Linked DNA regions of Caenorhabditis elegans. The protein of the gene in region 1 interacts with the protein of each later gene in a pairwise test. Each region holds a gene or a part of one and is shown in the gene's direction. Other genes may lie near its edges. The genes, in order: vab-3, mgl-2, ztf-2 and vab-7.

Region 1 (4,791 bases):
ACTGATTATTAGATTAAAATTAAATAATTCAATTTTGAAAATTCAGAAAAATAGTTTTGACATCCTCTACTACCTTTTTTTCTCATTTTATCTTTAAAAAATTAATTCAGGGCGATCATTCCCGCCAAATACGGACATGAATCCCATTTGGTTACCAAAAAAGTGCGGCGGCTGTCGTTGAAAATAAAAAAATCCAAAAAGTGGGAAAACGACATCTTCTGTTCACTCATGCGTACAGAATCTCCAAAAACATTTCGCCGTATTCATTTTTGGCGTGATGTACCACATATGACTTGGTCCAGATAAAGGTACTGGTGTAAATTTGTCTGTTGTGTAATCGGCATTTGACGCTAGCTTCTTGCCCAAGTTTGGCAAAAAATTTCAACTTGAATCACAACACGATAAGCTTGGTTTGGACTGTGTTTAAGTTTACGCCAAGTTTGATCCAAATAACAGTTTTTAAATAATATTTTTTTTAATTTTTGGGAAAAACGCAGGTAACGCCAAATGCCAAGTATAATTATTTTTAGACAACCGTCTAAAATTTGGAAAATATATTTTTAATACAAAAAATCTTACTCCGAGATTGATAAATGTGGAAATTTTGTAAACTACGATAAAAAATGCAAATTATTCTTAGTGTGTCAATAAAATTTTTCTATTTACTTTTCACAGTCCCAGTACTTGTTTCCTGCCAGATTTTCTCAAATAGGACTGACACCTGAAGCGGAATAATTTGCTATTTGACTTCCGAGCCCTCGAATTCTGGCGGGCGGTCCAACAAGAAGAACCCTCAATATTCCGTTAGTTATTTGTCGTCTCTGAAGACTTTATTGTCGGATGCAGCGATACCGTAGTCCGAAGAAAAGAATAGAAGAAACTGACAATGAATGGAGAAGTGGAGTAAAGCCAGCTACAAGCAGGGCAGAAAATATAAATGAATAAGTAAAGAAATCAGTTACAGAAAAGTGACATTAAATTTTTTCCACGTATCAAATTATGAAAATTATTCATAGCGAGGTTTTTTAAATGTTTAATTTGCAGTTACACTGCTTGAATCCGAATATCGATGCGGTTGCATTAATATTTATGTATAAGGAATCATCAAAAATAAAAGCAGTAGCTGATTAAAACTTATTTTTAAATCAGATATGTGGTGCATCTCCTTTTCAGAAACCAAGTAGTTTTGTTCGATCTGTTAAATTCTGTTAATCACAATGGTTCAGAATGTCTGTAAACATGCTTAGAAAACTAATGAGGTCGGTGGAGCAGAAAGTCTGTGAAAACTTCTAATTGGAATCAGGTGCTGGCAGTGAAATCACAAAATATCTTGGTCTGTACACCGGGCAAGAGCATGCCTACACCCCGCGAGTTTGGCATGGCTAATCCCTTGTTTGACAGATGTTCAGGGGGAAGGAGCTACCACTGAATAGTTTCCACGTGAGTAGAAATTGATTCATGTTCATAACATTGATGGCAATGTATTCGAGAAACAATGCCCATCTGCCACAAGTTGCAAAAGGTAGATTGTGAATAAAGCTGCGCATAATCCATAGAGAATATGAATGAAAACTCCGCCCATTTCAAAGAAGACGATTGGCCCGAGAATAGAAGCAAAAAGTCAGCGGTGTCCTAGGTGAGACAACGGAGAAAACGTGTCCGGGCGCGGCTCTTTTCAATTGTGGACCGAGAGGGAGAGACGTCGACGTCTTCTTTTTATGTCACACTATATCGTTGAAATAGTTTCGCGCTTTTTTGTTCTGTCCCCCGAAAGTTTGTTGGACAGTTAGATACTGAGGATCTCTTATTCTAACACTTCCAATATCTACACTTACACTAAATTTTACGCTACACAACACCAAAATCCGCGAGTATTCAAATAGTGACGGTCGAGTTGACAAAAGTGAACGTGGTGAGTTAAACTCTTGTTGGGTAATGAGTTAGCAGAAAATCAATAAGATGGCGAGCACTTTCAGATGGGCGTGCTAATGAGGTGGGCATGGGCTAGAAGTAAGAACTACCCTTCTTCGTCGGCATATATTTTCTCATTTCAGTCTGTTGCCTTTCTGCTGATTATCATTAGACTTTCTTGTTGAGTAGATAAATTTTGATGCCTCATTGACAATCATAAATAATAGAGAAACAATCGATATTGTCATAATGATAACAAACTAAGTAGGAATAATGTAGAACTGGTTATATTTTGAATAATTTCAAAACTCTTTGGTCTTTAGGCTAAATATAGAAACCGAGTCCTTCTCGAAACATTGATGTCGTGGGCTGCTATCATGTGTCTCCTATGACTTCAAACTTTTCTGAAATTACGTTACCTAATTTTTTTGAGCTTTCATGTTGTATCACAAAAATTTTTCATTCTGCTATAATTTTTCACAGATAATTGTTTGGTTCTAAATTCTGGGCAAAGTTTCAGAATATATTTTGAACTTTAGAACTGAATTCTTGAGCATTTCTGATTTAAAAAATCTTTTTGAACTTTTGCTACAACTTCTTTTCTCTACCATAAAATGTTTTCAATCTTGTTCGATGCTTCTACAAAAACTCCAACATCAGGAGCCATGCTTTCTCCTCCCACTTATGTTATTCATTGTGTATGTACATCCGCATGTGTCCATCATTGACTCCAAATTCCATTAGCCATCTACCGTATCTGGATTTCCGGTGTGTGACGCCGACTCCATGGCCAACACAGAATCATCGTAATTCTCCCCGCAATCTACATATCGCTACTCCAATTTTCGAATTTTGCCCCGTGTTGCAATTCCAATGCATTCAATCAAATTTAAAAGTTTTGATGATTTGTCTACTCATTTTTCCCACCCGTTCCGTTTTCTCCATGTTCAACATTTTTGTCGCCACCACCATCACTGAGAGGGGTTTTTGTAATTGGCTTGAATTGACACCCATTAACCGGCACACCCGCTGTTTGGAAGATGTCATAACGAAAACGTCGTTTGATGGAGGTCTTTGTCCGCGCCTTGTTTCCCTGTCCCTATAGTTGAAGGTGTTCGCCATCAGGCACCACTACTTTTTTGGCGCCCCTCTCTTTTTCTCTCTCGTCAGTGTCAAACGAGTAGTTGAAAATTGTGCTATTCCAAATTACATGGAGCCCCACTCCTCTGACCCGAAAGCCTTTCCATCAAATTTCGTTTTAGTAGATCTTTTTAACTTGTCATTATGCTCCTTTGGATAAACGATTTGGCTCACAGGCAAAGCATTTTCAACTGTGGGGACATTCCGGAAACACTTAGCCAATTGATAATGACAGTCCATCGATGAGTTATAAGATATGTTATCAGATGTACAAATCTGACACCCATACAACAGTCCTCACCTCGCTCTCGTCGTCATTCAGTTGCCAAAATCGTCATGCCTACTTCCAATTATGCAACTTTATCTTACGGGAAAATCTAATAACTTTTGCATTTCAGCTATGGCACACATGTTCAAGACATATTTTTAAAAAGTGAAAAGGTTGTCGGGAATATATAAAGATAAGGTATTGAAACTTTGGAAGCCCACGTTGAGACACTGTAAATAAACATTCACATTCACAATTTTTATCGTAGTCACTAATGTCTTGTTCCTTTAAAAAACATTTTCAATTTGCGGATTACAGAGGAACTAACTTCAAAAATTAAAAAAAAATCATTGAAAACGTTTTCTAGAATTACTTTTATTGAGTTAGAAAAGTAGAATCATGCGCAAAGTTTTTAAATTGATGTGCAAGAAAAAATTATCTTTAAGCCTAAAAAGCAAAATCCAATTTACGACACTTCCAAACGACAGTAAAAATTTTAAAAATTCAAAACTTCTCTTTTTATTTTTATCCGCAATCTTTGAATCACCAAGACCACTATTATGAGCAACTTCAAACAAAAAAGTTTATGAGTTCAGATGTAGTTCGAGATACTGAGTCATGAGCCTTCTCCTTTTCGTTCTCAAGATTTTGATCTCCTCAAACCGAGCTGGGTCCATTTCTACAGCATTGTTCTATTCTTTTGTCAAATTGGCTTTTTTAACCCTTTCTTACCTGCCGAGGCCTTCTTTGTTACCTTCCGATCACCACATCTCGACGGTCCTCCCCTCTTTATCTTACTTGCTGCTAATTACGTGTTCTCGTCAGTCGGCTCCAGGCCCGGATTAACTTTGACTACAAAACATATGTCGTTTGTGTTGTCTCGCTGCTGCATCAATTCTGGGTCAATAATTTGTGATTAGCTACCACCTCCGGTCTAATTAAGGGCTCCACAGGTTGAGGCAGCTCACCTTCTGTTGTTCTTGTTTGGTAATACCAAAGCATCTATGTAGTTAGACTTTTGTAAAAGATTATGAATCAGTGAATCAGTACTTGCAGACAACTGAAAAAGAGTACATGCTTACTTTGACGTTAATGGAACTTCTAGAAGTATCAGATAATGTATTAGAAAATAGGTACCTGATTATCATATGGGCCAGTGACTCGGAGACGAGTGATAAAGTATCACATGTAACTGAGCATGTAGTACATGTACCCTAGAAATCCCACCTTCCATCTCACCTTTTTCGGGTCTTACTTCTGTTATTCTTTTTTAGTTTCCATAATTCACTCAAAACCGCTCATTACCATTACCACATTACTACTTCTCCGCTATATGCATTTGATATTAGACACCAACTATTGTGACCGGTGTCTTCAGTCTTTTCCCGCAATGGAGTAGGTGACTGTCATTATTGTAATTTTGTGGATTGGGGATGTATATAGGTCCATTTACTAATTAACGCACAAAAATT
Region 2 (7,938 bases), on another chromosome or scaffold:
CTATCTCCTTCTTATTTCTGTATTCTTGTCTAGAAGGAGCAAAAAGAAGAGAGAGAAAAAGAGCAAAAAAAGCGACTAATAATTGAAAATGTATGGAAGAAAACTAGATGTAGCAGAAGGGGTGGAGAAAACAGATCCCACGACAAGTGTGATGTCCCAATGTTTTTATTTTATTTCTCTAGGACCCTCTTAGTTTTCGATTATATTTTGTTATCAAATATGGGGGTCAACAACACAAAAATCAGCCATTCAGCTCCCTAACCAAATGTTTTCATATAAGATGATGAAGAGATGTTCGATTCTTCGATATCCTTCATCAATTTATCATTTAATAGTAGAGCATGTCACAATCACAGATGCTGACAGTTTTTATAGTATATCTGGTTTTTTTCTGCCAGAAGCAGGTTTTTACAAGATGCCTACCTGCCTGCCTTAAAGATAACCTACGCCTATTTTGCCGTGAATAATTTATACAAGTCGTAGTGATCAGTAGACATTGGTCGTCTTGCAGGAAATTTACTTTGTAGGCACACAAATAGGCATTTTCGTGCCTGTAATTAAAAAAATCCATTTTTTCCTGATTGGCATAAAATTTTCCCAAGAAAACTTTTGAACTAAACCTAAAGCTCAAAGTATTATCATTCCCACTTCAATTTTTAAAGACTCGCATTGCTTTCCCGCCAAACAATTTGATGCGAAAAAGTGTATGTTATCATTTTGATAAGAAGTATGCATACTTCATATCTTATTTTGGTTTCTTTCTCAAAAAACGCTTGGTTATAAACCTAAACTTTCCCAACTAAATATATATTTTTTTGATTTGTGAGACACATTTTTGCTCTCTTTCTAAAAGTATGCAGTTGAATACAAGTTGTCACACTCATTTCATTCAAAATTCTGAAGGATTTCTTATATTATTCTGAAGTTGTGACGTCGCAAAGTTAAGTGAAGTAAGTATGGAGAGTTGATGTTTTATGGGTTTACATTCTCTTGCAATTGAAAAAAGTATTGTATGTGCTTTGCAGGTGACCTACGCCTGCCTTATGTCTATAGGTGTGCCTACTTCCAAAGTACATATTATTGAGCATTTTGTAAAAGAATTGAAATCTGCACTGTGCAAACGCTTAAAACCTGAGTTCAGCCCAGAAGTCAAAAAATAGACGGTAGGCAGGCAGGCAGGCACGTAGGCAAGTTTTCACTAGAGTTTTTGGAACTTAACTGTTAATATCTTACAAACGACAATCGCATTTAGAAGTTTATTCAAGTGACAGCAGATATTTTTGTCATATTTTTCCGGAAAATATACTAATTTCCCTTCTTGGAATAGTTGTACAACTTATTTTCAATTTTTTTAAAGTTTAAAATTAAATTTGAGGTACTTATCAGAAAGATAAAATATTGTTCTACATTTTTGAGGAAAGGAAATTTGTAAATTTTGTGTAGAAAAAATGTGAATCGACAATTTTTTAAATCAAACAATAACATGTTTTTGTGCCATTTTTAATTTCAAATTTTATTATATAAAACCTGTTTATAATATTTGTAGGTATACATACACATATATATCTGAAATCTCATAAATATGCTCATATCCTTGTTTATCCATTTTCTCTTTCTTGCTCCCCTCACTTCGTCATTCACAATGAGACGAAAAAACTTCTCAACGCGGAAGGATCTCTTATACATTTTTTCTTCGTTTTTCTTCCTTTTTTCTCTTATTTTTCAAGATCATCCGTTCACTTTCTTTTATTCTTTTAACCATCTTTTTCATTCATTTTTTGTAGTAGAAATGAAGGCGAGGTGGTAGGTATCAGAGAAGAGTGCATGTGTGTAGAAAAGAGCAAAAACGCGGCGAAATGCTCTACAGTCATGTCACACTTCTCATGCTTCGCGTTGTCGATGTCGTTGCAAAGACGACGGTCCAACAGTCGGCACGAATGCTTGTGGCAGAGATTCATGGAGAGATACAGGTAGGATATTCACGATTAATTCATCTAAAGTAATTTGAAATTCGAATTAGCTTTTCTAGTTTGCGCTAAATCCCGAAATTCGGAATTGAAACCTTTAGCAGATATTCCGAAAATTATATTTTGCTATCAGTTACAAAAATATGTGCTTGTGTTTTTTAATGCTGATTTTTCAACTGTTGACATTCTTTTTTATTACTTAAAATATTATAGCACCCTGAGGATTTTACCTGATTCTACTCCAGATGTAAATTCCAAAAAAAAATTTTTTTGAAAAGTTTTGCCTCTAAATCTAGTGATATTCAATAAATCGTCCATTCTAAAAAAAAACTGCAAGTTTACTTTTAGATCGGCGCACTCTTTCCAATCCATCGCCAAATCGCCGGATCTGAGAGCTGTGGCGAAATATGGGAACAGTATGGAATTCAAAGATCAGAAATTGCAATGCTCACAGTGAAACAGCTCAACGAGGAATTGCCATTCAAATTAGGCTTATCTATACGGTTTTTGATATTAAAAATCAGGTTTCAAAACAATATGGAACTTTTCAGAGATTCATGTTGGACAGAACGAATAGCAATGGAACAGACAATAGCATTTTTACGAGAAGGAGTTGCACAATGTTCATGTTGTCAAACACCTGGTTGTAACAAGAAAAGTGTTCCTGTGGTGGCGGTTATTGGTCCTGGAAAGAGTTCTTCTACTATTGCAGTACAGAATTTGCTACAGGTATATATTTGGAAACCCCGTTAGAGATACCCAAAAACTACAAATTACAGGTTTTTCGAATACCTCAAGTCGGATACTCCGCCACCACTCCAGACTTATCCGACAAAGAACAATTCGGTTATTTTCTTCGTGTTGTGCCATCTGATGTTTTTCAAGCACAAGCAATCAATCGATTACTACATCATTATAACTGGACATATGTTGCAGTTTTATATTCAGCAGGTAAATCTCCGGATTGTCTGGCATATACATTTGAATTGAAATTGCACTGTCATTTGGAAAAGAATCTTCAAAATAGGATTTACAAAAAATTTGATGCTTTGGAGCACAGAGAATTTTTGAAATTTTTGAAATATTTTTGACTGACTATGAGATCGAAATTTAAATGCTTCAAAGTGCTCCTGAAATTACATGAGTAGCGTCTATTTTTTCGAAAAAATCTGTCAAACGTTTTACAAGTTTTACAATGAATCATTTCGGCCTTTCCTATTATTAAAAAAAGTAAATCATAGAATACACCCTCACTTTTCCATATCTCCATTTTCTGTTAACTCCTCTTCTTTTTTCTCACTCAATTCTCATGCCCTGCGGGTGCTTCAAGTGGAATCGAATTTGTGTCTATCTCGTTTTTGCCATCTGATGACACAAGGAAAAGCCTTCTGGCTCAAGCAAAAATCGAGAGGGAGAGGGGATTTCTGCTTGTGCAAAAAAGAAAATAATTAAATTGTTGGTGGCATCTGAAGTTGATATCTCTTGTGAAGAATCCGAGTAGTCAACGACTACATTGGTCGGAAAAAAGGGATCAAATATGAATGGAATCAAAGTTGAAAGTTGAATTTAATAGGGGTTTTCTGGAAAATGTAGAAGTTTCTATTTTAGAAAAAAAGCGAGTCGCCTGAAAGTAAACTGATATACACAATTTTCAGGCAACTACGGAGAAAAAGGATTCGAAAGTCTCGAAAAGCTAATTGCACATCGATCATCATCAGTCTGTATAGCGTATTCAGAAAAGATTAAGACTTTGGCAAGTGAACAAGAATATCGACAAGTTCTTACACGACTCGATTCTCAAAATTCTCGACCTCAAGTCGTCGTATGCTTCTGTGAAGGAGCTTCAATGCGAATGTTCTTTAAAGCTCAAAAACATTTGGCCGATGGAAAAATGCAAATGAAACGATTTCAATGGATTGGATCTGATGGATGGGCTGATAGAAATGATGTTGTTGAGGATTTAGAAGAAGAAGCTGAAGGATCATTTTCAATTCGAATTCATGCTCCAAAGATTCCAGGATTTCGACAATACTACACAGCTCTTCATCCAGAAAATAACACTATGAATCCATGGTTTCGAGAGTTTTGGCAGCAGAAGTTCAAGTTTGTTTTTAAATTAAAAAAAAAGCCAAAGTTCAAATTCATGCAAAACAAATACCTATTTTACTCATTTATATTTTTCTTCTCGATTCAGATCACAAAAATTTAGCCTACAAAACCCTAACCCTGAAAGTTCATGAATCAAACGGTAGGCAAGTTTTCTGGTCAGCAGAATCAGTTTTTTTTTTCTGGGGACGGCCACAACGCTGAAACTGTTTGTCATTAAAAATATTAAATTGTCTCCAGTTATGTAAATTCATTTTCAATATTTCCAGTTGCCAGTTCGCGGTTTCAAAAGAAGACAAAAACAATGAAAACATCCGAATCTGTAGTGGTGATGAGAATTTAGATGAACAATACAAAGAAGATCCAAAACTATCACAAGTAATCAATTCGATCCGTGTGGTTGCTCTCGGCTTGAAGGCTATGTATCAGGACCGGTGCCGGTCAGTTTTCTGGAAATATTCAGATCACGACAAAAAACGTATGTTTCAGTGACAATTCAACACTCTGCACAGAAATGCTCTCTAGAAATGGAACATTGCTTTACGAATACTTGCTAAATGTGACTTATAGTGATCAATTTAAACAACCTGTATACTTTGATAGAAATGGAGATCCACCTGCATGGTAAGTAGCAACTGATCTAGCATGATTCCTAGAAAACTAACTAAAATTATTTGAAAATTCATTAGTGTGAATATGTTTTTGAACTTTTGCTCTCTTCGTGCACAAAAAACTAATTAGAACTGGATGAGATAGCGACGTCATCGTTAAGTTCATGAAGCACAAAGTTTATGACAGACGCCAACTAGGGGTTTGCAGTAATCTATAATTTCTGGCAATCGACTCCCTGCAATTGCGGAAATTGTCACCTACGAGCTGAATAAAGCACACAAAAAATTATTCAGGTACGACATCCTCAACTATATTGGAACCAAGGATCTTGATAATCCGTACAATGAAGTTGGATCATTCAAATCGATTAATGACTATGGGGTTGAAGAGCTTGATATGACTGCTAAATCAATGTTTTTCGATAAAACTGAACTTCTACCAGAAAGTGTTTGCAGTCGACCTTGTGGAATTGGTCAAAGGGTATGTGGATTTGTATAATTTTTGGAAGTTGACCAGAAAATTTTTTACTGATTGAAAAGTCACATACAAATGTATTTTGCTACAAAATGTCCACTATACAATCTCTCAATGCCTTAAACATCACAGTTTCACTTTTTGGGAAAAAGTTAAACAAGAAGGACAAATTATGTTCAAGTGAAATAATTTTGAAAAGAGATTTCACAAAATCAAAACTTGAGCATGCAAAAAATATTCAAACTCAAATTTTTCCAGCAACGAGAAACAATGGCGTGTTGCTGGATTTGTGAATCTTGTCTGGATATCCAATATGTGAATAAAACAACAAATCAATGTATGAATTGTACTCTTGGCTCATGGCCAAATGCGAATAGAACAGGATGTGAATATATCATTCCTGAAGTTGTTTCATGGACTTCTTTTGGACATATCTTGGCCCTTGTTCTAGCAGTAACTGGAATCATTACAAGTATGGCAACTCTTGCTGTATTCCTTCGTCACAACTCAACACCAGTTGTGAAGAGTACAACAAGAGAACTGTCATATATCATTTTATCTGGTCTTGTTGCGTGTTATGCTGTATCATTTGCATTACTTGCAACTCCATCAACAACTTCATGCTTCATCACAAGAGTTATACCACCAATTGCATTTGCTGTTGTATATTCGGCTTTACTTACAAAGACAAATCGAATAGCGAGGATATTAGCTGGAAGTAAAAAGCGAATATTGACAAAGAAACCACGGTTTTTGACTACATTTTCTCAGGTGAGAACTTGGAACCTTAGAGAAATTGAAAAAATATATTATAAATTATGATGAAAATCGAATAAAGTATCTGGGAACGAGCTTCATGTTTTTATTTGGAAACAGTATGAACTTTTGAAAATTATCTAGAATGAGGCATTTCTCATTTGACAAGTTATTGTTTGATTAGGTTGAAATAATAATGTGCCATGCGAAACTCAATTCCTAATAACTGACATGTGTGATAAGTTTTTGAAAATTGTTCAATAACTTTTTTCATAATGCTCCAAAGGCTTTGCCCTCATTCTTTTGGAATAAATATTCAGAGAAGTCAACTCGCTTTAAATAAATGTTCCAATTTCAGGTAGTGATAACCTGGATCCTTGTAGCAGTTCAATGTGTGATCGTCGGAGTTGGTTTGATGCGGGATTGGCCGGATGCCACGTATGCCAAGTACGCATTGCCAAGAAAGTTGATATTAGAATGTGACACTGAAACAAAATCATTTCTAATTCCATTCTTTTGGGACTTTTTTCTGATTACTTTGTGCACACTATATGCATTCAAAACAAGAAATCTTCCGGAGAACTTTAACGAGGCAAAGTTCATTGGATTTACTATGTAAGTTTTTTTTGCAATTTCAAAATTTAAACTGTAGTTGTCTTTAGTTCTCAGCCAGCAAAGTCATTACCATTTTTTCAAAAGGAACATGTTATCATTTTTCAGTTATTTTATCTAATAAATTCCTATTTTATTTAATTATTTCAGGTACTGCACAGTAGTTGTCTGGATTGCATTTCTAGTACTTCACATGGGAACAACTCACAAGGCATTAGTGATGAGCTTCTCCTATTCATTATCCGCATCTGTGGCTCTTGCTTTGCTATTCTTTCCGAAGTTATACATAATTTTGATGCATCCTGAGAAGAATATCAGAGCATCTTATACAACTACAAAGCTCATAAGATGTCATTTCGGAAATTCTCAAGCTGCCTATGATAGTACAAGTAAACAACAACATCTTGGATCGAAGACGACTGCAAGAACGTCTGTTCAGAGTGGATCTGCAAGGTTTGTACAATTTCCGAGTGATGTGTTTATTTTTGAATCTATGAGATTTTTACAAAAATATAATTTTTTTTTAAATTCGAGAACGGGTGCATTTCAAAGATCTCATCTTTGAAAACGTCTAAAAATTTAGAAATTTCAAGAAGTTCCTGTGAATGTTTTTTTTGACTATTTCGAGGCTCTGTCAATTTCCATTTTTCCGTAGTTTTAGATAATTGATGTTTAATTATAGTAAATCTTCAAGTATGGGTGGAGGAGTCACACGAACAGCATCGGTTCATGTACCTGTTTCCCGTGGAAGTACACATTCAACTGATGTCTCAACACAAACTGAAGGTGAGAACAAAACATATTTAAAAAATATATATTTAAAGATACGCCAGTTTGAAGACACACAGTTTATCGAGTTTATGAAGTTATTTTTGAGTTTTCAGTATAAGTAAAAAATTGAGGCACGTTGAGATCAATTTTTCCATTAATCATGTTTAAAATAGTTTTTCTATCAAATTTTGATATCCTTTTAGCAGCAAGTAAATTCTCTCGAAGCTTCTCAATAGTTGGCCGGAAGAAACAAGGTCTTGATGATGATGTGCAACAACTTGTTGATGCTTGTCGAAGATATCAAGTATGTACACTTATTCTTAGTTTTTTTATAGTTTCAATTTTTCAATTTCTAGGACGAAAAAATCAACTCATCGGCTGCAAATCTACTTCTTGAAGAATCTGAAGATGAGGTAGGAGCACTTCTGGCTGATTCAATTGAGAATAGCATGAGAACAGTGTTATCAACTGTTGCTGGTAAAGCAGTTGTACCATTAGTACCCATGGTACCCATGATTCCAGTGGTGACTCTACCAACTGCACCTTCACAAGAAGATAACTTTGAACAGGTTTGTTTTGAATTATTTTTAGACTTAAACTAATAAGTTGAAATATTAGTTTTCATCATTGTTTTATTAAT
Region 3 (4,210 bases), on another chromosome or scaffold:
GAAAAAATTGATGAAAAAACGACTACCATCTCCCTTAATTGTTCAATTTTTGAACGAGAGGCAATTTGTCTGAAAATCTGGAAAAAAAAAGTATTTGCATCAATTGCCCTTTTGTTGCCATTCGTGAAACTTGCACACTCAGCAGCAAGTGATTCCTCCAGCCCACACGTTTTCGGCGCAAAAGTGTAAGTGATAAGAGCTTCAACTGGTACCTCCTGGAACCGAGGAGCTGACAGTGCTGCTCTTTTTGGCAGAAACTAGCGAATGAGCACAAATGCACTTTTACTTTATCTAGGTTACTATAACCGATGCTTCTTCTATTACCTTTACTTCCTCCATTTTACTCCTAAAAACTGCTTGTCATGTGTTTGAACTGTGCGGGGCCGCCTTGAGGTCCTTTCCGACCATTCTGTACCAGGTTGTTCCTATTTGGATTTCCTCGAAGAAGTTGAGGGCGCGAGAAAAAACCGAATGGCTGCAGGAGACGCCGCGGCGATGGTGGTGGTTACGCAAACTGTGCTTGAGCAAACATGTGCCTGAATTGAAAAAGAGAAGAAGACGATGACGATTAGGAACAAGAAGGCATTGAAGACGTTGAAGAAGGTCATCTTTGAAATTATGTTCAAATATGTTTTGGTTCTAGTTACCCTAGATTTCAAAAATACTTGAAGTACTCTAGAAACCCGAGTTGATATTTGTAAGGTTTATGTTAAACTCTACGTCATATTTTGAGTAACTGCCTACCGTAGTTTTTACACTTATTTGAAAAGAAAAAAGCACCTAGCTACTTTTGTAAGTTCATATTCATTTTAGGGCTAACTTACCTGTGCCTGGTAAAAGCCCACAAGACGTCTAGAATTACTATTGCAGTCTTTTCAAATACGTTCTTTTCTGGAATGGTTCTTGTTGCCCTGGATTTCAAAAATTCTCTAGAAATCCGAGTTGGCAATTTCATGCTCGGAAAGTGCACTTTTTTTCGAAAGATGATCGCTCTCAATAATTAACCTTCATAATACACATCATACTCTTCTTTTTTGCATTCACTTACAGTAAGCACTAGATATCTCGGAATACTCTAGTTGGGTTTGAAAATCTCCACGGTCCCTTTTCTATTTTTCTAGCCGTCCCCTATATCCACCTACAGTAGCCTTTGCGCCTGTACCTCTGCAGCACTATGCCTAACTGGGAGCAGGTGAGCCAATACCAAATAACTTTCCCAAAACTCTTTCTCCTCCCATCAACGGTCATCCGATCTCAATATGGCCACGTCATGCTCCAACTTCACGTACGCTTTGGCTCAAAACGAGTTCACTGACCGAACTGTTTGTCCAACCAAAACCTTGTGGCCGAGCGCAAGAAAGAGTTGTGTGTTGCTGATATTTTGTAAAAAGTAAACGTATCCTCTTCCTCCTACTGCTGTTGCTGTGAAAGTCAGTCAGCCCCGGAAGTGAACAGTTCGCTGATGCGACGACCTCCCACCCTTCGGCCTCCTCCTCTTTTTCCCCCAACAAAACTTGTGTCAACATACTGTGGTAGGAGCGAAAAGGTACCGCGCGCCCCATCCGCATTTTGCCATATCCATTCCTTCCCGAATCGGCGCTTGCTTCCTGGTGACCCTTCCCTTATCTTGGAGCAACTTTCACTTTTTCCACTTCTTATCTCCAATTCTCTCGTCTTTCTAGACAAAATAGATATCAGAATGTTCCTCCAGTTCCAAGTACATTGATACTTTTTCTTTCTCCAAATTTTCCCACACCTTCTTTTCATTACTTTTTCTCATTCGTGGTCTACTCTTTCTTATTTTTGATCTCGGTTCAATATTAGAATCTGCAAACTTAACAACTGAAAAAATAACATTTCTAAACTTACTATAACATTTCCACTTTTTAATTGCATTCTTTAAATTTCGTAAATTTAAGATGAATTGTGAATCGTTGCTCACTGCCCTTGACGTATCCACTCTACTCTCAACTCTTTCCTCACCTGAAAAAGAACATCGTCGTAAAAGACGACGTGGTGAAGTAGCCAATCCATCAAACACTCTTGATGCTCTTGTTGCTCGCAAAGCCGACGATCAACCATTTGAAAAGAGATATCTAAGTGAACAAGAAGCAATTGAAGGACCAGATGATGAGATTGAAATGAAAAAAATGGAATTGGATCCTGATGTATCTACACGCACCTGCTCTACCTGTGGTTACCAAGGAAAATGGGTGTCTGAGATGATTCGTCATAAGAGAGTTCATACCAGTGAAAGACCATTCAAGTGTCGTTATTGCTCCAGAACCAGCAAGTGGAAGGCTGACCTTATTCGACATGTTGCAAGTGAGTTCATATTACTTTTCTATTACTTTAGGTATTTGAATTCGCTTTAAACCTTTTGTAATTCTGTCAGATTTGAAGTTTGGCAGCTTAGAACAATTTTTGAAATGTAATCAATTAGCTTCTGCTATACCTGAAAATGTATTCTCCAACCTCAATAATTTCAGAAACTCATGGAATCCGTGTTGTCTCCAAATACAGCCGTTCGAAAGTCTTCGATGCCACCAACAGTTCAATGGATTCTTCGTGTTCTTCAGACTCTGATCGATGCATAATTTCTGAAAAGAGAACAGTGTTCTATCGTTGCCAATTGTGCTCATTTGAAGATGAAAGAGTATCTGTATTGAACAGTCATGTAAGCCATCTTCACAACACCTCCCCATGTGTTTGTCGATGTGGCGCTAAATTTGAAGATGTCCAAGGAGCACTTGCTCATTCCAATGGTCCATGCTCCCATGTTGATATGATTTACAACGTTATGCCAACTTATGAGAAAGGTAAACCATAATTTTAAATAGTTTAATTTCATGATTTAAATTCCTTTTTTCAGCATCTCCATTATCCCCGTGCAGAAGCGAATCCTCATCAGACAGCGGAATTCAGACAGATCCTGAAGAAGAAGCATCGATTATTACATCATCCCTACCAACTCCTCAACTTGGATCATCACCTCTTCTGTTGTCACCAACACTTCCAGTCACTCCATCTTTCCTTCCAGACATTCAATCAGCTCTGCTGAGCCTTCAGCCAAATCCATTAATGTCATTATACTTGGCATCTCTCCTACAATCTTCCTTGTTGAATAGTCCAACTATTCCAACATCTTTTCCACAAATCATCCCAACTACGATACTTACACCTTCTCAACAAGATGAGATGGTTGACGTTGAGATGTAATTCTTAAGATCTTGAATCCATAATCTCAAAATTTATAATTAAAACAATTTATCACTTCTTTACTTGAATATCTCAGGTTCATATACTCGAACCAATATATTTTCTGTTCTACTTAGCCAATCACGCACACAAACCCCAAAAAAACCCCAAATCTTAGGTATCTACTCACATACGAATCTCGTCTCAACTCTCAGCTTCCTGGTGAATTCATATTTTCTTTGCTAATTTTATTTTCCTTATCTGTTTCTACTATACGAGTCATGTTTCTATCACACATCCCTCCATATTTCTCTATCACATTTTTCACCGATTTCTCTTTTTTTCGGGATTGTTCTTATTTATATCGTTACGAATATTTGGAAATATACGCTTGTTTAAAAAAGTATTATCACCACTGCATAAACTCATATTTTAAGCGATATTATTGATTTGTATTTGCTCGGCATTTAGTGCCTCCTTTCTCCCACCTTTTGAGGTCTTCTCACCTTCCGCCCACCTTTTTGCCACCTGCTCCCCACCTTTTGTAAAAATATCACAATTATTCAACAAATACTCGAAATTCAGTCGCGTTTGCCACCTTTCTCCCACCTATTGTGGTCTAAAACAGCAGCGGCAGCGTTCTGGTGACACCAAAACATGTATTTGTGATTTACAACAAAAAATCTCGATAAATAATTTTGAAAACAATAATTCTTACATTTCAAAATCTGCCTACACCAGACCTGGGAAACGCTTATTTTTCCTACCTCATTACTGCCAGTTCACTAACTTGCTTCTTATCTGGCCTGCCTACATACCTTCTTTGTTCCTGTCACGTCCGATTTTCCTTGGTTCGTCTAATTTCTTATTTTATCTAATTTATAAAACTGAATGTTTTTCTACCCGTCGATCAAAGCATTTCAAACACATAAACTATATTTCCGAAGTTATTCCATACATATAAGGCTTTTGTTTGATTCGATTTTTTTTAGGTGGCATTATTGAGGTTCGG
Region 4 (7,728 bases), on another chromosome or scaffold:
TTTCGGCAACCGCGGCCCACCCCTGGTTCGGAAGTTCCAGTGTTCTCAGGCACACTGCCTATACTCAACTTTTGAAGGGACATGCCCTACAAATAGAGTAAACATTAAACCATTTTGTATTGTCTTCCACATGTATTCAAGTGTATCAATACCAAAAAGTAATGAAATAGAGAGAAGGGGGAGCGGAATGCCTGATGAATGATTCATTCTCTCTCTCCCGATGCAACATTTAGGGGAGATACATGCAATGACAATAAAAGAGCTGCTTAGTCATGTCACTTAATGACTTTTGATGAGGCTTTCATCACTTTTTGATGGGGAGGAACACTTTTTTGTTTCCATCTGACTTTGTGGCCTAATTAAGAAAAACTAGGCCATTGTGTAGATGGCTTTTAAAGTTTTGAAAAAAAGGTTATGGGAATCCCAAGAAACTTCAAAACTCTGATTTCGCAAAATTGAATTTCTATTAGAACGGTGAGATCATACATACCAGGGGTGTGCGGCAAATTTGCCGAATTTGCCGTTTGCCGAGCTCGGCAAATTTCAAAAAAGTAGATTTGCCGAATTTGCCAAGCTCGGCAAATTTCGAAATTTGCCGCACACGTCAAAAATTTGACAGTACAATTTTGACTAAAACTATTGATTTTTTAGCCAAAAATTTAGTAAAATGATACAAAATTGAGCTATTTTGATGCTTAAACAGACATTCTACGCGGAACTTATTCAGAAACCAGATGTGTGTTAAGAATTCAGTAGTTTTGGTGCTCCAAAAAATATAAAAAAATATCAAATTTTTCCGAGTTTGTTAAGCACGGCGAATTTGCCGAATTTGCCGAATTTGCCGTGCTCGGCAAATATTGAAAAAAGAGATTTGCCGAATTTGCCGAGCTCGGCAAAAGTGGCCTAGAAAATTCAAGTTAGGCCACCTGTCAATTTGAATGTTGAATTTTTATGTTGAAAATACTTACATAAGTTTTTTCATCCGTTTCACCTAGCTAAGCACATGGCCTAGAAAAATCAAAATTAGGCCACCGTAAAAGAGAAAATAATTTGTATATTAATATGAAACATTGAATGAGCTAAGGGGCTCCAGTTGCTTTGTGGCCTAAAAAATTTGAACCCTCGGCCACCTCCGTGAAATTTTCGAAAATTTTCATTTTGAATTTCATCGTAACGGCCGGGAACTTTAGCTTGATCACGTGGCCTAGAATACTGAAGTTTTTTGAGAACCGTTATTGGGGAACTTTCACGCAGGTACCTCGTGGGTATTAGGAAACATGGTCTAGAAAAAAAATTAGACTGTCTGCAAAATAATTTTAATCATTGTGTAATATTCTTCATTGTAAGGGCCCTAGAACCTTTACTTGGTTACGTGGCCTGGAAAACTCAAAAATTCGGCCACTAATTGGTTTTTTGAAGTTTTACTTGAAAAAAAAAATGACCTGATGTTTTTGAAAAGCAATACATTTTCTCTTAATATTAAATTTCCAAAAAAATGCCAAATCTGCCGTATTTTAAATTTCAAACGTCATGGAAAAAGATTATTATCTAAAGTCTCTTTCTATTCCAGCACTCCTTCCCCTCTTCTATTGGCCGCCCTTCTCATCTGAGCGTGGGGCGTGGCCAAATCCACCGTAGTCACCGAGAGGTTGAGCCCCGCCCAGCGCCTTATTCTATTGTTTCCTTTATCTTTGAGTTTTAGTACTCAAGTTCTTTTATTTGAAAAAAAAACTATCAAAAATTTTAAAAATTAGCATGCAATCATTTGATATTGAGTCCCTTATTGGGGTTAATAAGGTGAGATTTTTTTGTTTTGTATTTTGTTTTGAGAACCATGTTTTTTACTTTTGTAGAACTGTTATTTAATGTCTGTAAACTTCTTGTTGTCAAAGATCCATTAAAATTAAAGTTTCTAAATTTTTGTAGTTTTTTAGGGATTTTTTCAACTTTTTTGATAACTGTAATAGGTAGAAATAAAAAATTATATAATTTCATGCAATAAAATTTAATGAAAAATTATTAATCTAATCATAAAAGTTTAGAAGATTTATGTTGCTAAAATTTTATTTGATAACTGTAAAAGTTTCATTCAGTTTCACAATTTTCAAGATTATCGGGCGTTTGAAGCTTAAAAGATAATTTTTTTAAAGTGTTTAAAAGTGGTTATAACTTGGTTTGTAATAATGCAAGCAAAAAATTTTCAACAAACAATTTGTTCATTATGTTTTAAGCTATAATTTGTTAGTTGTCAACTTTTTGATAACTGCATTAGTTGCAGAGTTATGGACAATTTAATTAGGTTGCATAATCAAAAAGTGTCATATTGCATAATCTCAGCTATAATGCATAGTTGCATAGTTATTTGAATTATTGAAACATTTAAATTCTAATTTTTTAAAATCTGTTTTGCTAGAAGTTTTTAAATTATTCTTTAAACTATTTTCTTTTTTATTAATACTTTGAAATTTTGATTTAAGAAATACAGAAAAAAAAATTAAAATCGTTTTTTGAAAAGTTGAAATTACCGAAAATTATCTATTTTGACAGCCAAACTTCAGTTATTTCTAGTATTCAAATTAATTCCAATTGTAGTTGAAAAATAATTATGTCTAGTAAAACAATGTCGATTTTATTTTCAGATCAAAAACTGTTTACATAAAAAAAGTTGTTTTTACCTCTTTTAATCTAGAAAAATTTGAAAAAATATATCATTGAAACTTTTTCGACACCCTAAAGTCTTTTAGCCGAACTCTGAAGACCCCCGGACAGCTCCAGGATGATGCAACTCTTAGTTTCTAAGTAAAGCCTCCCTGACACCCCAAAACTGTTATGGCCTAGTTTTGGGTCCCTAGGCCACGTTGAGCATAAAATCTACTTTAGCCCCATCACCTAGGACACACCCCCCCCCCCCATCCGAACACATAAAACATCTCGTAATTCGAATTCTCATTTCCAGGTCCCATCACTTGTGGAGATGGTCGCCGCATCTCGAGCTTCCTCATTTTCCCCTCCATTTGAGCAGCAGCATCATGACCCGATGGGTGTGGTGGCCGCAGCGGCAGCAGCAGCAGCCGCCGGACGTCATCATCCGTATGGTAAGAAAAATGGGTGTGTGTGTGCCCGAGATGAGAAGGGACATAATTATTCAAGAATACTTCTTCCCCTAGCTTCATCTCCTCGCTGAACACTAATTTAGTCCCGTATTTGGGTGGGGGTGACAAATTGAGGGAGATTGATTGAGGTGGAGGGGGGTGAGCGGATGGATGAGGTTGACACGAGCAAATGGACAATGAGCACCTATTATGACACGTGGGAGTAGTGGAGCGGGTAGGCAGTGGCCGAGTTTTTTCTAGGCCACGGGCTAGAACCAACGCGTGAAAGATTACAGTTACCTCCGAGAAGTGACTGAGGTTGCCTTTTTTAGGCCAAAAGTATAAACAAATTTCCACATTCTAACTTTGATAGTTTTTACAGTTTGGTTTTTTTTAAATTCAAATTCCCCGCCAAAAATTTCTCCGCCAAAGTTTCTACTCTGAAAATTTGAATTTTCCCGTCACAACTTTTACTGAGTGAGATCTTTTGAAATCCCCGCCAATGCTTTTTCAACAAAGCTGTACTAGCTTCCCTTTTCTTGATGGCCTAGAAAACTCAACCACGGCCATGAACTTTCAAAGGGCTAATATAGTTCCATGTGCTCCTCCCTGAAAGTTCTCTTTGTGGCCTAGAAAATACAATTTCAATAGGCTTCATATCTCCTAGAACATGGCGTGGCCGAATTTTTGCTTTCCAGGCCAGACTTTTTCCTAGGCCACGCAGCTCCCTGTCATCATAAACGATGTGTAAATGTTGCGGTTTCGACACAATCACTGAGTGTGAATGAGGATTGTTTGGTGTCGGCTATTATATCGTAAATGTTCTCTCTTTTTGTTTTACACCTGCCCCCCCCCCCCTCTCGGGGTACTGTAGACGCGTCGTTTAGTGGTCAATTATCTATGTTAGTGTTGCGAATGGGTTATATGATCACTGATAGACACACTGGGAAACATGCTCTGATGTGCTTAACCTCTTCCCCCTCTCCCCCGAAGTCAATCGCCCTAATGTTGCCATGTGTCATGTAATTGGTGTTGCGTGTCGAATCAGTTCATAGACACCCTTAGTCGTAAAAAGGGGAGTGAACCAATTATTTAATTAGGACACAATGTTCCGGCCGGGCAGGTACACGGGTGAAAGTGGGAAGGGTACATCTGGCCTAGGGATTGCAAGCTCGGCCAGGCTTATGTCATGTGGGCTTTTAGACTAGCTAGTCTTTTGGTCAGGAGACAACTATACCGCTGATAAGTATAGGAAGCCGGGAGTTTCTGCTTTGCCTAATCAACCTAATCTAACTACATCTATAGGGCCCAAAGCACCATCATATACTAATAGCATAGAATTCTCAAACCCGGCCAAGTTCCGTTATGGTGTCCACAACACTCTTAGTTCCACATGACCAAGAAAGCTCAATCTGAGCCATTTTCCTTTAGATCGGCATATTGTAAGCTTGACCTGGTCACCTAGAAACTTCTAATTCTGCCACCACTTTTTAGAACTGTCCAGATCACCCTTCCTTACACATGGCCTAGAATTCACAAACCCCTCCTTCCCCTCAAAATCTGAAGGGTTAACAACAGTCTTCCCTAACGGTCTAGAACCTTTTGAATGGGCCATATTCCTTCGAGGGATCCACAACACCCTATCCATAACCTAGAATCACCTGGATACTCCAGTCATATGAGCGATCCACAAAAGTATACTCCTTCACCTTCTCATGGCCTAGAATTCCAAAACTCGGCCATCCATCTCCTCTCATAATCCCTCTCACTAGGATAATGGGTGGAAATTATGTTTTTCATCAAGAAATGCATGTATTAATTCCGCATCGCCGGGATGCTAATAATGAAAAACAAGAAGAGTCAATTTGTGCCGTTTATTGATGAATTTTAAAGCACTTTTAATTATTTAATTCTGTATGACGAAAAACATAATTTGCTCCGTGTTTTTGTCGTCGGGAAGCTGTTGATGAAATGCTGATTTATAATAATTTCAGATAACCGAGACGACGGTCAAATGCGGAGGTATCGAACGGCTTTTTCACGAGAACAGATTGGGAGGCTTGAGAGGGAATTCGCAAAGGAAAACTATGTTAGCAGGAAGACACGTGGCGAGTTGGCGGCAGAGTTGAATCTTCCAGAAGGTACAATTAAGGTAAGTTGAAAATAGAGAAAAATTGGATGAAAATTCCTAGAGTATTAAATGGCTCTAGGCTACATCATAGCTCTTTGGGCGACCTATAATATTTCAGACCAAGTCACTACAGACGGTTTTAGCTATTACTGACAAGTCTAGGCCACCACTAAGAATTCCAGGCTACCACGATCTCTTTAGGCCATCACTGAGGATTCTTTGTAATCAGAGTTGATTGTAGGCCAATTTTAAAATTTCTAGATCATCAAAAAGCCATCGCTAAGGATTCTAGACAACTATTGAGAATTCTAGGCTACCACTGAAGATTCTAGGCCACGGCTGAAGCTTTAAAACTAGAACTAAGTTTTCTAGGTCATCAGTAAGGATTCTAGGCCACTATTAAAATTCTAAGACTACGTTAAGCTTTCTAGAGCACAATTGAGAATTCTAGGCCACTCACATGTTTGAACACATTTTGGACGTTCGTATCTCTGAAAATATCATAGCTATCAAAAAATTATCAACTACCAAATTATTCAAAATTCAATTTTCTACATTTTATCAGTTAAAAACATTTTTATAGCTACAAAACTGACAAAGTTAGAAGCAGATTTCCGCATCATAATAGGCTACCGTACCCCCGTCCCCCTGCCGCCGTCATCGTCAAATCCAAATCATTTCCCATGACATACACGCGGGACCCGCTGCTTCTTCTGCATATCAATCTCCCTTGAAAAATGAAAAAGCTGAGAGGACAGGAGAAAACGGAGGGCCTATGAGTGATTTCGGAGTATCGCGCCTTTTATTCCCACTGGCATACTTTTAGAACTTCGTAGCCTCTTCAACTAGTTACAATATGATTTTCGGGGGAATTAGTATAGAAGGAGAAGGGTTAGAAATTTATGAGTTAGGCTTCGGCTTAGGCTTGGGCTTAGGCTTAGGCTTAGGTTTAGACTTAGGCTTAGGCTTAGGCTAAGGCTTAGGCTTAGTCTTAGTCTAAGGCTTAGGCTTAGGCTCAGCCTTAGTCTTAGACTTGGAGCTAACGCTCCCCCACTGACGCTATTTAGGGTTATTAGGCTTAGGGTTAGGCTTATTCTGGGCGGGGGAAGAGATGAAAGGAAATCCTAGAAAATTACATGGCCTAGTTTTTTCCAGTGTCCTAGAAATAAAATTGTTGGCCTAGAATTTTCTGAGATGACCTAGCGTTTTTCAAAATAATCTAAAACTTCCTAAGATTATCCAGGAAACTTTAAAAACTCAGAAAATCTCCAGATGTCTTAGAAATTGTTCAGATGGCCTAGGAAATTTTCTGGTGGCCTAGGAACTATAATTTATGAACTAGAAAATTAAACGGTGGTCGAGGAACCTTTGACATAACCCAGGAATTTTTCTCGATGCATTTCCGACATGACTCAAAATTTTGAATTTTTGTGAACTTTCCAAAAAATTTTTAGGTAGCCTAGTAAACTTACTGATGGCCTAGAAAACTCTCATTTGCCCTACTTCAAATAAACTTGTGGAAAGTGGCCAAGTGGCCATTACTCGCAAGTGACTCTCGATTTTAGTCGAATTTTCTGAAATATTTCTTGCAGGTATGGTTCCAAAATCGTCGAATGAAAGATAAACGGCAACGAGTCGGTGGTCTCGCGTGGCCCTTTCCTCCACAAATGGCTGCCTACATGTTAAACCCATTTGCATATGAAATGTGGATGAAAACAGCTGCCGCCTCACAATTCGGAGCCACGGGTCCCGGAAATGGAGCTTATGGGAATAATGGATCAAGGTGAGTTGGAAGATTGGCAATATTGAAGTTTCTTCACAATTTTTGGAAATGTTTGGAATCGGAACTTTTTTTTTCGTAAAAACCAAAATAAAATTGTGAAAAAATTTTAGCTAAATAAATTATTTAAGGTTTTTTTTTCAAATTTTTCCAAATATTTTTCAGCACATCTCCATCAGCAGCTGGATCTCTTCCATTCCTTCCACCATTAGGTTTTCCATCATTTTTATCACAAAATTCAACAAAATCTCCATCTTCTCCACATTCAGACGATTCCTCAAAATCGAAGAATACCTCAAGTGATGATGATGAATCAAAACCTGTAAATTTTTCAAATAGCCCTTCCTCAAGTTCTCCCTCGCCTTATTCTACAGATTAATTCACTATTTTTTGGAAAAAAAAATCGGCAAAAAAAGGGGAAAAATGGACAAAATTAGCCAGGTGGCCTAAAAAATGTTCATGGTGGCCTAGGAAATTCTAAAGCGACCTAGAAATTTCTAAAGTGGTCAAGAAAACTCAACGGTGGCCTAGGAGATTCTAAAGTGGCCTAGAAAATTCTAAGATGACCTGAAAATTACATAGCTGGCCTAGAAATCGCTCTGACTAAAATTAGGCTTTTTCAATAGCCAAAAACACTTTTCGTGGCCTAAAAACCTCAATTTTTGCCTATTATCTGCCAATTTTTTTTTGTTAAATTTCCACAAAATTTGTATTTTCTTCGCTTT

What was found.
Region 2: the proteins of vab-3 (region 1) and mgl-2 interact in a two-hybrid assay, tested with the Caenorhabditis elegans proteins (one large-scale study listed by BioGRID).
Region 3: the proteins of vab-3 (region 1) and ztf-2 interact in a two-hybrid assay, tested with the Caenorhabditis elegans proteins (one large-scale study listed by BioGRID).
Region 4: the proteins of vab-3 (region 1) and vab-7 interact in a two-hybrid assay, tested with the Caenorhabditis elegans proteins (one large-scale study listed by BioGRID).

Annotation. Positions count from the first base shown.
Region 1 is NC_003284.9:10,498,194-10,502,984, forward strand, and holds the start of vab-3 (Paired box protein 6 homolog), read left to right. Parts: upstream 1-1,696; 5' UTR 1,697-1,912; intron 1,913-2,044; exon of another isoform or gene 2,045-2,100; intron 2,101-2,894; exon of another isoform or gene 2,895-3,001; intron 3,002-3,936; exon of another isoform or gene 3,937-4,042; intron 4,043-4,377; exon of another isoform or gene 4,378-4,518; intron 4,519-4,791.
Region 2 is NC_003279.8:10,385,235-10,393,172, reverse strand, and holds the start of mgl-2 (G-protein coupled receptors family 3 profile domain-containing protein), read left to right. Parts: upstream 1-1,784; 5' UTR 1,785-1,856; coding exon 1,857-1,970; intron 1,971-2,315; coding exon 2,316-2,470; intron 2,471-2,518; coding exon 2,519-2,696; intron 2,697-2,746; coding exon 2,747-2,918; intron 2,919-3,212; exon of another isoform or gene 3,213-3,345; intron 3,346-3,398; exon of another isoform or gene 3,399-3,547; intron 3,548-3,622; coding exon 3,623-4,070; intron 4,071-4,342; coding exon 4,343-4,513; intron 4,514-4,562; coding exon 4,563-4,697; intron 4,698-4,978; coding exon 4,979-5,165; intron 5,166-5,417; coding exon 5,418-5,930; intron 5,931-6,273; coding exon 6,274-6,530; intron 6,531-6,677; coding exon 6,678-6,980; intron 6,981-7,209; coding exon 7,210-7,313; intron 7,314-7,501; coding exon 7,502-7,602; intron 7,603-7,654; coding exon 7,655-7,867; intron 7,868-7,938.
Region 3 is NC_003279.8:7,289,353-7,293,562, forward strand, and holds ztf-2 (Zinc finger protein ztf-2), read left to right. Parts: upstream 1-1,919; coding exon 1,920-2,325; intron 2,326-2,489; coding exon 2,490-2,819; intron 2,820-2,872; coding exon 2,873-3,219; 3' UTR 3,220-3,600; downstream 3,601-4,210. UniProt on the Caenorhabditis elegans protein: Transcription factor. Represses gene expression, probably via binding to DNA consensus sequence 5'-[AT][CT]TTCC[AC][AG]-3' in promoter regions. May play a role in pharynx morphogenesis.
Region 4 is NC_003281.10:10,918,631-10,926,358, forward strand, and holds vab-7 (Homeobox protein vab-7), read left to right. Parts: upstream 1-1,713; 5' UTR 1,714-1,755; coding exon 1,756-1,797; intron 1,798-2,956; coding exon 2,957-3,095; intron 3,096-5,086; coding exon 5,087-5,244; intron 5,245-6,815; coding exon 6,816-7,006; intron 7,007-7,168; coding exon 7,169-7,382; 3' UTR 7,383-7,411; downstream 7,412-7,728. UniProt on the Caenorhabditis elegans protein: Transcription factor. Involved in motor neuron fate determination and maintenance, acting as a transcriptional repressor to counteract gene activation by transcription factor unc-3 in a subset of motor neurons.